3 linked regions of the Oryzias latipes genome follow. The protein of the gene in region 3 interacts with the protein of the main gene of each other region in a pairwise test. Links are inferred from orthologs where the notes say so. Each region holds a gene or a part of one and is shown on either strand. Other genes may lie near its edges.

Evidence for each region. The genes of interacting proteins can lie anywhere in the genome.
Region 1: the proteins of probable E3 ubiquitin-protein ligase DTX2 (region 3) and glyctk interact in binary tests that used the Homo sapiens proteins (3 or more experiments, as listed by UniProt). The two-hybrid records come from large-scale screens. The link is inferred for Oryzias latipes from reciprocal best matches to the Homo sapiens genes DTX2 and GLYCTK.
Region 2: the proteins of probable E3 ubiquitin-protein ligase DTX2 (region 3) and ncs1 interact in binary tests that used the Homo sapiens proteins (3 or more experiments, as listed by UniProt). The two-hybrid records come from large-scale screens. The link is inferred for Oryzias latipes from reciprocal best matches to the Homo sapiens genes DTX2 and NCS1.

Annotation. Positions count from the first base shown.
Region 1 is NC_019863.2:8,153,795-8,157,967, forward strand, and holds the start of glyctk (glycerate kinase), read left to right. Parts: upstream 1-1,309; 5' UTR 1,310-1,508; intron 1,509-4,173. Other genes in the region: wdr82 (WD repeat-containing protein 82), read right to left, coding at 151-248, 833-993.
Region 2 is NC_019867.2:19,620,853-19,625,026, forward strand, and holds the start of ncs1 (neuronal calcium sensor 1), read right to left. Parts: upstream 2,865-4,174; 5' UTR 2,247-2,864; intron 1,818-2,246; 5' UTR 1,703-1,817; intron 1,660-1,702; exon of another isoform or gene 636-1,659; 5' UTR 526-635; exon of another isoform or gene 397-525; 5' UTR 332-396; coding exon 268-331; intron 1-267. UniProt on the Homo sapiens protein: Neuronal calcium sensor, regulator of G protein-coupled receptor phosphorylation in a calcium dependent manner. Directly regulates GRK1 (RHOK), but not GRK2 to GRK5. Can substitute for calmodulin. Stimulates PI4KB kinase activity.
Region 3 is NC_019872.2:28,224,169-28,228,220, reverse strand, and holds the start of probable E3 ubiquitin-protein ligase DTX2, read right to left. Parts: upstream 2,801-4,052; 5' UTR 2,161-2,800; coding exon 1,851-2,160; intron 1,477-1,850; coding exon 888-1,476; intron 1-887. UniProt on the Homo sapiens protein: Regulator of Notch signaling, a signaling pathway involved in cell-cell communications that regulates a broad spectrum of cell-fate determinations.

The DNA of each region.
Region 1 (4,173 bases), on a different chromosome or scaffold from region 3:
AAATGGCATGATATAGGCCCTTTGAGCTTAATTTTCTTTATACATGTTCGCCATCACAAGGGTTCAACACAACAAAAACACAATTTTCAGTGGAGTGGGTCTTTGGCAGATTCATCCACAAACATAAGAACCAACATAGTGCATACTTACCATCAATTTTGTTGGAACTGTAGACAACAGTGTTTGCAGCATGAGTGTACCTGATCAAATCCACTCCATACTTCTTACTGTACAAAGTCCTCTTGGGTCTGCCATCAATCAAACAATAGGAAAGGGATGGATTTAAATAAAACAAGCTCTTTAAAAACAAACAAATGTATTACAACCGTAACATTGTTTCCATCATTTGCTGGAAACGTAAAACAAATGTGACTAATAACCAAAGCCTACTTCAAACTTGGTTTTCTTGATGTTTTTTGTACTCAGTTCTGTTTTTAACTGTATAATAAGTTGTAGGTTAGGAATTCATATTACGTTATACTAAAAAAAAACACTTAAAAAATATTAACCATTTAAAAATTATAGCTGCAGTGAGTTTAAACAACTGAGTTTCAATGTAAATATAAATTGTTGATTCAAATATGTGTACAACAACAGATATATTGGATCGTTCAATCCAATTACTTCACAAATTGCTAGGAAAACATATTTTCCTTAAGATTAATTTGTTTGTGTTCCAGACATACTTTTCCAACAGTAAACAGTGCAACCGTTGGGGATCAACATCTACAATATATTTTAAATGGGAACTGCTAGCTAGCAGGCCCTGCTATTGCTAACTAGCATGAAGTAGCTTCACCAGTGGGTCAAACTCGGAAGAAGCGGGTCTTACTTTCCTTCCTGGCAGTCGTACAAAACTAACGAGTCGTCGTCACTGCTAGAAATAATAGTTTCTCCATTGGAACTGAAGTCGAAGCAATTTATTTTGTCTGAATTTTCCCGAAACACTTTAGCGACCCTGAAGCTCCGCAGCACATTGTCTGTTAGCTTCATAGTGACCTGACTAGAGAGGAAGAAGATCCTCGCTTTCCTTATGCTCGCAAATGTTAGCGAACACTGTTTGTAATAATAAAATAAAAAAGATATAAACGGCAACAAAGTAAAAGAAAAACTGAAAAAGGTGGAAGTAGAGGGGTTCAAAAACTACAACGGTAATAATAATTTTTACTCCACGGCTGAGACGGGGGGGTAAAGCACCGCCCGTTTCACGACGTCGGTGGCGCGTATCACAGAAACCGCCTGACACACCTGAAATCACGCGAGATAAACGATCGTCATCGCGAGGTTTAGCTGACGGCAACGTAAACAACAGAGAAATGTGGATGAATACAATTGCTTACAATTCTTTGATTGAATCTGTTTAAAATATGATACTTAGTTCCCGATTTTCTTAGGTATGTTAACATTTTGGTTTACTAGGAGTTTATATATGTTTTACTTTAACTTTGCAATGAATCCAGAAAAGCAGTTGGACTTTTGACCTGACAGGTCGGGAAGACGAGACTGAGGTACGAGCAATAAAAATCCGTTTTATTTCCTGTTTTTTTTTATACACTACATATTGGATTAATTCCCTTTAACTTTAATTTTGGTCATGTTAGATGGAGAGGGGGAAAAGGGAAGATTAAACTGTTAAAGAAAGAAATAAGACTAGAGGTAAGGCTGTCTAGACCAGGGGTCCCCAAAACCTTTCCCAGTGAGAGAGCCACATGAGGTTTCCATTTCTGATCGGGGGCCAGAACTTTTTTGTCACTATGTAAACTTTGTTTTCTGTTCTGATGGGTGGGGGTGGGTAACATTCAAGTTCCATGACTGGGGCAAAGTGAGGTTGCAGTAGTAGCAACATTTTTAGCTTAGCTCACATTTCAATTCATATAAACTTTATTGACATTGGGAAGGTCCACTTCACCCCAGTTTCCATGCTTCCGTGAGTCTTGATCACGTGGCCAAGCTATGTGATCATGCTAAAAAAAAAGGGTAGGGGTTTGACTCTCTCTGGTAAAGTTCAGGGTCAAATATGTGGGCGGGCTGGGTCCGTCCCCTGGGCCGCAGTTTCGGGACCCCTGGTCTTGAACAGTGTTTTTCAACCTTTTTTGAGCCATGGCACACTTTAACCTTGACCAAAATCCCGTGGCACACCAGCATCCAAAATTTAAAAAAAGGAGAAACTTATAGTTTGCATTGATCTACAGGCCCTCCACAATTTCACATGCATTTTTGTGATAAAATAGAAAAAGCTGGAAGTTGCAGCCGTTTTTTTTCTAAAAGATGTAATAAAAGTTAAGTTAAAAGATTTCAAAACTGTTTGATGCGTGTTCGTTGTGGTTTCAAGACTTTTAACAACGAAAATTCATCGTACGCTGAGCAGCTGTCACTTTAACCCAATGCATCATGGGATATGTAGTACAATCAGCCGCCGAACGCAGATAGACTCACTTCTCTGAGCTTCATGGTTTTGTTCACTTTTTCCATGGCCTGACACCGGATCCCGCGGAAAGCTTCATTGCTAAACACGAGCTTTAGCTGGTATTTTTGTTAAAACTGAGAGACTTTATGAGCAGAATCAGAACAAGGAAGTGAGGACTTTAACCACTTCTGATTGGTCAGACTGATGACATGTGATTAGGCCTCCAAGAATGATTAGTGGAGACAGTTAAAGGGGCGGGACTTTTCCGAAAACAGAACTGAAGCTGCGGCTAAATCACAGTACCCTCATTCTTATCAAAATGTCTTTAATAGAATCAAATAAACACAAAGAAAAAAGTATTTTACGATCTTTCATATTCCTAACTACTCAGTGTTTTATCAGGACATTTTTGGATGAACACAGAGGTGATATCGTCAAGATGGTAAAAAAAATGTTCGTCAAGATGGTAAAATCAGCTGATGCTGTAGTTATTATTATTATTATTTATTTTTTTATTTTTTATTAATCCAGCCTAGAGCTTGAACAACACAACAGTAAAATCTAAGCAGAATTTAAAAACTATTGATAATAATAATAACAGAAAACAAAAGTGTAAAATAATAGGAACCATGCAGAATTTAAAGCATGCGCCGCCCCTTTGGAAAAGCTGAGACCTGACAGTATCATGGATTGTTCACAATCATCATTTTTAAAAATGTGGTCATTTAAATCTCAAAAAGATTTGAGATAACTTGTGTCATCTGACCTTCCCCCAACAATCAGCATCATGGGTTCCTTACAAAAAATTGTCTAGAAAACTGAAACTGAAAATAGTTGATGCTCACAGAGCAGGAGAAGAAGCAAAGTATTTTCAGATGCCAGTAGCCCCCTCTTCGGAATGTAATTAAGAAATGGAAGACAGCAGGAACAGTGGAAGTTAAGGCAAGATCTGGCAGACCAAGACAAATCTCAGACAGAGCTGCTCGCAGGGTTGTGAGAAAAGCAAGTCAAAACCCAAGTTTGACTGCACAATGCCTCCTGAAAGACTTTGCAGACTCTGGAGTTGTGGTTCGATGTTCTACTAGAAAGAGATACTTGTACAAATACAGTCTTCATGAAAGAGTCATCAGAAGAAAACCTCTTTTACGTCCTCACCAACCTTTTCAACCTTTGAAGTTCGCAAATGTACATGTAAACAAGCCTGATGCGTTTTGGAAACCACTTCTGTAGAACAATGAGGTTAAAATGAAACTTTGTGGCCAGAATGAGTGAAGGTAAGTTTGGAGAAGAAAGGGCTCAGGGTTTAATGAAAAGAACCCGTGTCCAACTTTTAAGCATGGGGGTGGAACAATCATGCCTTGGTTTTGTATTGCAGCCAGCGGCACATGAAACATGTCATGAGTAGAAGGAAGAATGAATTCTACAAAATGTCAGCAAATTTTGATGTTATCTGTGAAAAAGCTGCAGTTGAAGAGAGGATGGCTTCTACAAATGGATAGTGATCCACCTCACACCTCAAAATCCACACCTCAATGGATGAAAATACCACAAACAAGAAATGAGAGGCTCCTAGCTGGCTACAAAAAGCTTTTACAAGCTGTGATACTTGCCCAAACTTTTGCTCACCCAATTATTTTGTTTTCTGTTATTTTGGAGGGGTAAATGATGGAAATAAAGCCTTTTTTTTACATATCACAACAATATCTCATCTGTAATCTGATGCCTTTTGATGATTTTTCCATCTTTCCATTACCTCTTTATGAACA
Region 2 (4,174 bases), on a different chromosome or scaffold from region 3:
CAGGTTTTTGTCTAAAAACGGCCTAACTATAATTAAAAGACCACTTGGAACACTTAAAATAGATTTTAAAAAAAGATGATTGGACTGGGAATTTGATCCTCTCCACATTCTACACAGAGGATTAATAAGCAGAGAAGATCTATATAAAGATGTTCTTAGCTTGATTCAAAGACTAAGTTTCCACCCATCACATCCTTTAAAAGAATTTCTGTATTTTTTTTTCCAACATAAAGAAAAGCTTTAAAAAAAAGAGCTGTCAGTACTCACAGTATGTTTTCCTTGTCAGTTCCTCAACCACCTCGGGTTTGAGCTTGCTGTTTGATTTCCCCATGATGTTCCTCCAAATTCACCTTGGCAAGCAGGCACCTGTTACCTCCTCCTTTCCAGTGTTCTCCTCTGCCAAAAACATACAGCAAACGTGGGACGTTTGAGCCTCAGTGGCCGAACGGGCAACGAAGGAAAGACAACCAGACTTTTTATGTTCGCTTTGACGGAGTTGAGCATGAAAAAAAAGAGGAGAAGCACCCATTCAAGATGGGATCCTATCCTTCTAGTAGTTTCAGTGTAGCTGCGGTCATGATCTGCTCAGTCATCGGTCCCCGCTCTCCAAACAGATGCATCAAACCCCAGGGGCTCTGTGAAGCAGGGCCAGCAGGTTGTTGGGTTAAAGTAAGCGTTGCCAAGAGCCTATGTGTTCGCCTCATTTCTCCACAGCAGTCCGTGGGCGAAGAGTGGCGTTCTGATGCGTTGCTACCTTCGTCCTTGGATACAAGAGTCACTTAAAGGCTGGGTAAAGCAAGATTACTCCCTCACAGTCATTCTCCACTCTCCTAACCCCCTCCTACTTTTCCCTTCCCCATCGCTATCTCTACTGCTCCGGGTAAGTTACTGAAGTACAAAATCCCTCCCCCTTGACAGCTGTGATAAGATGTGTACACTAAAACACAATAGATAGAACCTTAAAAGTCTTCCCTTGCCCTGAGTTCTGCACTCATTCAACTGTAATTCATGAACGTGAGAATGTATACAAAATGTGTCTGTTGCCCTTTACAAATGCCAAGGAAATTTTAGATCTAGAGCTGCTAGGGGTGTAACGATTGATTTTAACCACAATTCGATTTATATCTCAATTTGTGTTTGCTGATACAATTTATAGCCGATATTGGTTCATTTTAAACGATTCGAGTCATTGAACCAAAATCAATCCAGGACATCTTTAGACAAAAATTCAACCAGTGTGACTCACAGATTGCTGCTATCGCATGTGTGTTGTCTGCTGCGATGGTACTAAGTTATTTTTATCCTACTGTGCCTCCATCCAAATGGTATTTTCCATTATTGATTACAATCGATTTATATCATTTTGAACCCATTTTATAATGGTATAGGTTGATTGGATAAATAACTTTCCTCAGACAGATCGAACTGGTTGGATTTTAGGAACAGAAATCAATTCATCGATTAAGTTGATTAATCACGACTCCCCTACGAGCTGCTTTAAAAATAAACAACTGTCCACCAAGTTTACTATTTGAAGAGTGAGAGTTTTCCTCTTCCTCCTACATTCTGACTCATAGGTCTCTTCTGGCCTCAGCGGACCAGAGGACATGTAGTGCATTTTCTGTGCAACCATTGCGTTGGAATGAACCACAGCAGCTCTCTGGGGAACAGGACAGGAACCACTGTGTGCACTAGTGGGCACCTTCAGTGCAAACATCTGCTCTCTGTGTCCGCAGCATGGGGGGTCCTTCTGGGGGACGTCCTGCTGCAAATCACCATCTTCTGTTTGCTTAAGTCTTCAGGGTTTAACCAAGTTGCTGGGAGAGAAAGACAAAAAATAGAGCTTTTAGGGTTCACAAATGTGTCTGTGTTTCAAAGAAAGCAGAATTGTTAAACCTGCAAAAACACGAATATCCGACAATACTGCTTTAGATAGCTGTATTATGAGTACAGTAAGTCATCTACACAGTTGTACTGACATGTTTTTTAAGTAAAAAATACACATTTAACAGGTAAAAAGAAATGTAAAGAGTCACGGCAGCAGCAGGTGGGATGTTGCCTGGCAGTGCCATAGCAACGCAGGTAATGGCTCCAGGACAACAACGGCGACAATCATGCAAAGAGCTCGACAGTCAGTGTTTACGCGTAGGGTTTAAAGTACCCACGCCGGGTATTTATTTCGGGGGGGGGGGGGTAGATGGAACCCCGTAATGGATTTCTTTTTGGCGCTCTCGTGGTGTTGTTACCTGAAGCAGGAGGAGCTCACAGTCGCCGTCCAAAGAAAGCGTGAGCGGCAGCAGGGAGCCGCGGTCCTACCCTGTCTGCTTCCGTCGAGTTCCGGCCGCCTCTCGCTCCGACGCCGCGCCGTCTGGGAGTGACGCCGCTCGATAGCCCGACAGAGTCAGCTCACAAGCGGAGACGCTGACGCGGCGGTACCGACGTCCACACACTGACTTTCTGTCTGCACTCACTACTGGCTGTTACTCTATGAAAGAGCTGATTTACAACCGTAAACTCCTTGAAGGGAGACTGTCTCTATTCAAGTTTCTTTTTCTTTTTTTTTCTAACGGGAGGAGGGACTATAGGGCACCAAGAAGTTACTTTTAGTCTTGTTCAGAAAAATCATAAAAAAGGCAGCTAGCTGTGTACAAAAACAGGGGGAAAAATCTACAGTTGTTCACATCAAGAAACTACGGAGCCCTGAGCATGACATTAAAACAAAATTGTTCCCTCAAAATAATATTGTGAACAATTATTGGTGCGAACAAATGGGCATTTTGTAGGCACAAATGAGCACCTTGAGGGTACAAATTAACATTTTGGAATGTTGTGGGTACAAATATGGATTTTGTGGGCAAACATTTGCATTTTATGTGCACACATTAGAATTTTGTATGCTCAAATACAAATTTTATGTGAATAAATTTGTATTCTGTGGCTGCAAATTGGCATTTTATTGCGCATAAAATTCTCATTTTGTGCATACGCTTTTGTATTTGCTGGGACAAATTTGTATTTTTTTGGAGCACAAATGAGCATTTTGTGGGCGCAAAGTAAAATTTTGTGTGCACAAATTCGTATTTCAAATTTTGTTGGCACAAATTAGAGCTTTGTGTGCACAAATCCATATTTTGTGGGCACAAATTAGCTTATCGTGGGCACAAAATTTGCATTTTGTGCACATAAATGTCTTTATTGTAGGCAAAGATTGGCATTTAGTGTGCGCAAATTTGCATTATGGGCTCAGAAATTAGTATTTAGGGACACAAACTAGTAATAGTAGTAGGAATTGAAGATACAAACATACACGTTTGTGCACAGAGAAAACTAATTTGTGCCCTTAAATGCTAATAAAATGCTCATTTGGGGCCACAAAATACTTATCTGTTCCCACAAAATACTAATTTGTGACAACAAATTATTGATTTGAAATAACGTTTTTTTTTTTTGTTTTATGTCATGTCCAAGGTTCCGTATAACACCACTACTAAAATGAGACGAAGTGGGCAAATTTTTGGTTACATCTTCTTATTAAGATGTCAGCCTTTATCATGAAATGATCTTTGGTGTGTGTACCCACATTTTCTTTGTTTTATTTTATATTATTTCTGAATTTATTGTATTTTGGGGTAGCCTTGCTTCTCTCTGGCATCTTTTTTTCATGCCTTAACATTCTATTGCAAATATTTATACATGGAATGAATCAAATTACATCCCTCTTATATGCCCCTTATTTATATTAAAGTGAATGCTCTAGTTGATAAATGTAATCAATTCTCTGAGAATTCTTGCTCCAGTTTAAATTCTGTTGTAAGCTGATCTTCAGGCTGCATCCCTTCACAATAAAATATTCCCTTTTGAAGCAACAAACATCATGCTGATGATTTTATGAGTAGTTTTCTACATTAGCCCTCTAGTGCTGCTGATGTGTGAAATGCTACTCCTCCTGAGAGACACTTTGCCAATTTACTTTACATTCATTACTGATTTTCTCAAAAGCAAAGGAGAGCATGGGTTTGAAAGATGAGTGTTCGCCTGTCTTCGCATGTATCAGCTGCTTCTTAGGCCGTGTAAATTATGCAGCCAAATAAATATTTTCTTTATTTGAGTTGTTTTTCATTAACGCTTGAATCTAAAGCTTGTTGTCAGCTCTTTTCAAGTGCAGCCCATTTAA
Region 3 (4,052 bases):
ATCAGTTCGATTTTAACTTTGTGAAATCGATGACGTCATATCCGCCGTCTAAAAAATACAAGTAGTGAGCGTGGCGTCCGAATCGCTTTAACATTCAGGGCGCTACACAGTGCTGCACTATGTAGTTTGGGGTTAGGGTGGGAATTCAGACACAACCAAGGATTTTATTCTCATTTTATTTGATTTCACAGAACTACCTTAAAATAAAAAAAAGATAAAATAAAGATAAAAATAATGCATAATCAATTATCGAAGATGGTTAAAATGAGTGATTTCTAATTACATTACTTCACTTGCTCCAAAAATGGATTCATGGTTTTTCTTAATGAAACTTAATTTTGCACATATTTTTAACTTTTGAACTTTGATCAATTTTTGATATTGAAGATTTTTGAAACAGTGTTATGTCTATTTTACTGATATAGTATTATTTTTTAATCATATACATCATTGTTCTAATGAATATAATCAGCTTATATTTTAGATAATTGATCTGCATTTGCTATTTCTAAAATAGAGTTATGTCTATTTTTACATAATAATTAAGAAATTCATCTTTATCATGAGATTTATTGACACCAAAAGATTCTTAATTCTGTCTGATAAAAGTTCTGAACCGGATAAAGATAAAACATGTAATAAAATATGCTGATTGTATTGTTTTTGTGTATTTTTCTTCCTTGATTGCTTGAAATAAACCATTTCAAATCAAAAATCAAATCAAATCAAAATGTAAGAGTTCCTATTTTATCCATGTCTGTCCCACATTTGTTCAGGTAAAACCATTTGACCCCACAAAGTGACTTCAGATCCGTGTTGGCGACTGGAACGGGACCGGCAGCGTTTTAGCAGATACCAGAAACCCCGGACAGAGAGGCGGAACCCACCTGAGCCCGTTGGCGCTGGCGGAGCCGCTCAGGTGCGACGCCGAGATCTGACTGGCAGAGGGAGGGGGGAGCCAGGGGCTGCCCCAGGATATCCCCCCAACAGAGTGGGGCCTCCGGGGATACGGCGAGTAGACGGAAGTGGGGTGGGTCGCGGCTGCCCTTCCTGGTCCCTGCAGGCCGGGTCGGTTCAGACTCCCCGAAGAAAAGGAATGTCGGGAGCGGCTGGGCATGGGCCCCGTGCTGCTGTGGCTCAAACACTGCTGGCAGGAGCAGGCCGGCCCCAAGGGGACAGCCGGGGGCCCCGGGGACGCCAGCGGGAACGGGGAGTTGCCCAGTCTACGAACCTGCCGTCTGAAACCCGTTGATTTGTTGACCTGGGCGAAAGACGTGAGGTCCACAATGTAGTTGTATCCGTGAGGGCCCAGGTCGGCGGTCCCCTGGCGGGCCTGGTAACTGTGCTCCAGAAGGATGGAAGTTCTGGTCTCGTACGGAGTCCAGCCCCCTTCATCGTTGGCCCATTCCCAGTAAACGCCACTGCCGAGGCCCGAAGACTGGGGGAACAGAGACCGGCGCACGGAGCGCGTGGTTCCTGCACAAAAACCCGCAAATGAGTTTACCTTCAGCAAGACAGTACTCTTTGTAAGAGTACTACAAAAGGTACTTGGTCTATACTAAAAGTGATGCACTTGAAGTTCACTTCCATACTGTCTATTCCTGGACTCAAAATGTTCCAAGAAATACTCAGTTACTTCACTAAATCTACATAGTCTCTAGTATTCTAGCTATACGTGTACTCAAGTATACTTAATAAAATAAACTTAAAGTGTACTGCTGCTTTCTAGACCAGCTGACTGAACCAACATCATCTTCTCAGAAATGCAGTTTAAAAAGACAAAATGAACGACGGAAACCAGAATCTCTGATCTGAATCCGGACTTCAGGTGTGGTGCTGAAGCGGTTTACCTGTATCCTGTCGAAACTGCTTCAGGCTCGGTATGTCGATGAGGTAGGGGGACAGACTGGGATCTGATTGTCCGAGGCAGACGCTGGTGGAGCTGGGTCCGGCTCCCCGGTGGCCCCGCGGGGACAGGGACCGCTCGATGTGGGAGCAGACCTGGCCGCTGTACGGCCGCCAGAAGCCCTGGTCGTCCTGCCATTCCCACACCGCTATCATTGGCTGAGACTGTCCGACTGACGGGGACGGCGCGGCGGACACCGACGGCCCGTTTCTGGAGCTGCTCACCCGGGAACACGATCCAGACACAATCGCCATATTCACCGACCGAGGTACTAGCTAAGCTAACGGCGGCTCGTTCTAGCTAGCCGATCGGGGCTACGACAAAGCCAAAGTCCGCGGGGCTAGCTTGGCTCACTAAAGAGCTTCATTATGAACGTGGGAGCATGAAGAGGCCTGCAGGTAAAACACTACGCGCTCTCCGTGAACACCAAGGTGCATGTTGACATTTCTATCAGGGGAAACGCTAGCTTTACAACTGCGTTGCTAAGGTTCCTCCTCTGCTCCACCAGCTGCCTTCACGCGCCCTCTGAATTTTTGCATTCAAACCGATGACAGGTTGGCTCAACTCAGATTCGTAAAACAGAATTTTAATCTGTAAAAACATGCAAGCACAAAACAAACATAAATATCTACTTGCTAGTGTTGCTGGTTTAAATGACTTTAAATTGCTTACATTTAAACCCCACTATACAAAAAGCGTCCTTCATTACCTCTTTTTTTTTCAAAGTCTGTGGTGAGTCGGGGACAGATGGGAGAATGTACATTTCTTGAGTAGATCTGTGTGTTTTTTAATTCTAAAGCCAAACACTTCAAAGACCAGAGTACGCGGCTTTATTAACCAAAGAACAAATAACCTTTCAAGAAGAACACATTACCGTTCAAAATTACGTTTACAAAGTCTCCCTGAACTTCACACTCTTCTTCTTTTAAAACAACAACCTCTTCCTCTTTTTGGAATCTTCAAAAACTCTGCTGCCCCCTAACGGAGACAAAACGGTACGACAAAATACTCAGAAGAGGAAAGGTTGAGCAAAAGAAAACTACGACTGTTGGATCAAAGGGAACTGTAAAAAAATAAAAGATGTGTTCAATTTGCCACAAGAATTACATTAAAAAAAATTGTCAGAATGTCACAATTTTCCGAACTGGTTAAAACCAAGTCCTCATGATCTTAGTATTTACATTTGTACAATGGTACTCCAAACATAAAATATTACAGTTTTATTATTAAACTTCAAAACTTAGTTCCACATAGACAATAGAAATTATATTAGAGACTCTATAATATTGAATAATACAATCATATTATTTATTATTATTTCAACGTAAGAATATATGTTTAGACAAAAATGTTTGAAATCCCTTAAAGCAAATGTTGGGTGAAATTTTTTTTTATTGTTGTTTGAAATAGCACAAAATCATAAAAAGAACACTTTTGTTTTTTGGACACTGGGAAAAAGAAAAGATTTTAAAATAAAAGAAAACTAAGTAATTGTTTACCCCCGGAAATTTTATGAAAAAACACTTTGTTTTTTCTTTAAGGTGAGTATGAAGCAGAAGCATCGGTTTGCATCAATAGTGCGTCAAAGGCTTAAATGAAACCCCGGTGTCTCCTGTTTGCTCGGATCATCTCTGAGATGCGTGGGCTTCACTGACGTCCACCCGCGGTTCTGGAGTCGGTTGGGTTTGAGAGGACACCTACCTGTCTGCATGAGAGCTTTCATTCAGCAGAACATGTCAGAAAGGGAATGTCTGTGGACCTCTGAGGCCCAAATAAAGAAAAACGATGCAAAAAAACCCAGGTTCTGGTGCCTTGAAGGTTTAAATGTCAAAAAGGCCCTTTTCATTTAATAAACTGACGCCTCCCTGAGGTTTACTCTATTTGAAACAAGACATAAAACATTTGGAAAAAGTGAATAAGCCCTGAATGCACTGCTGGTAGAAGGATTCATGTTTAGTGTTTCCACCTTTAGAGCCGCCACATGAAAGATGAGGAAACCTTCCTGATCTTTCTGAAATTAACAATTCATGAACTGAAAGTTTTGAAGTTTTGCAGCAGCAGCAAACTTCTCCTTTTGCAAGACTGTACGCTTTTAGGAGATTAAACCCAAACGCTTCATAAAGTTACCTTAATCATAAAGAAAACC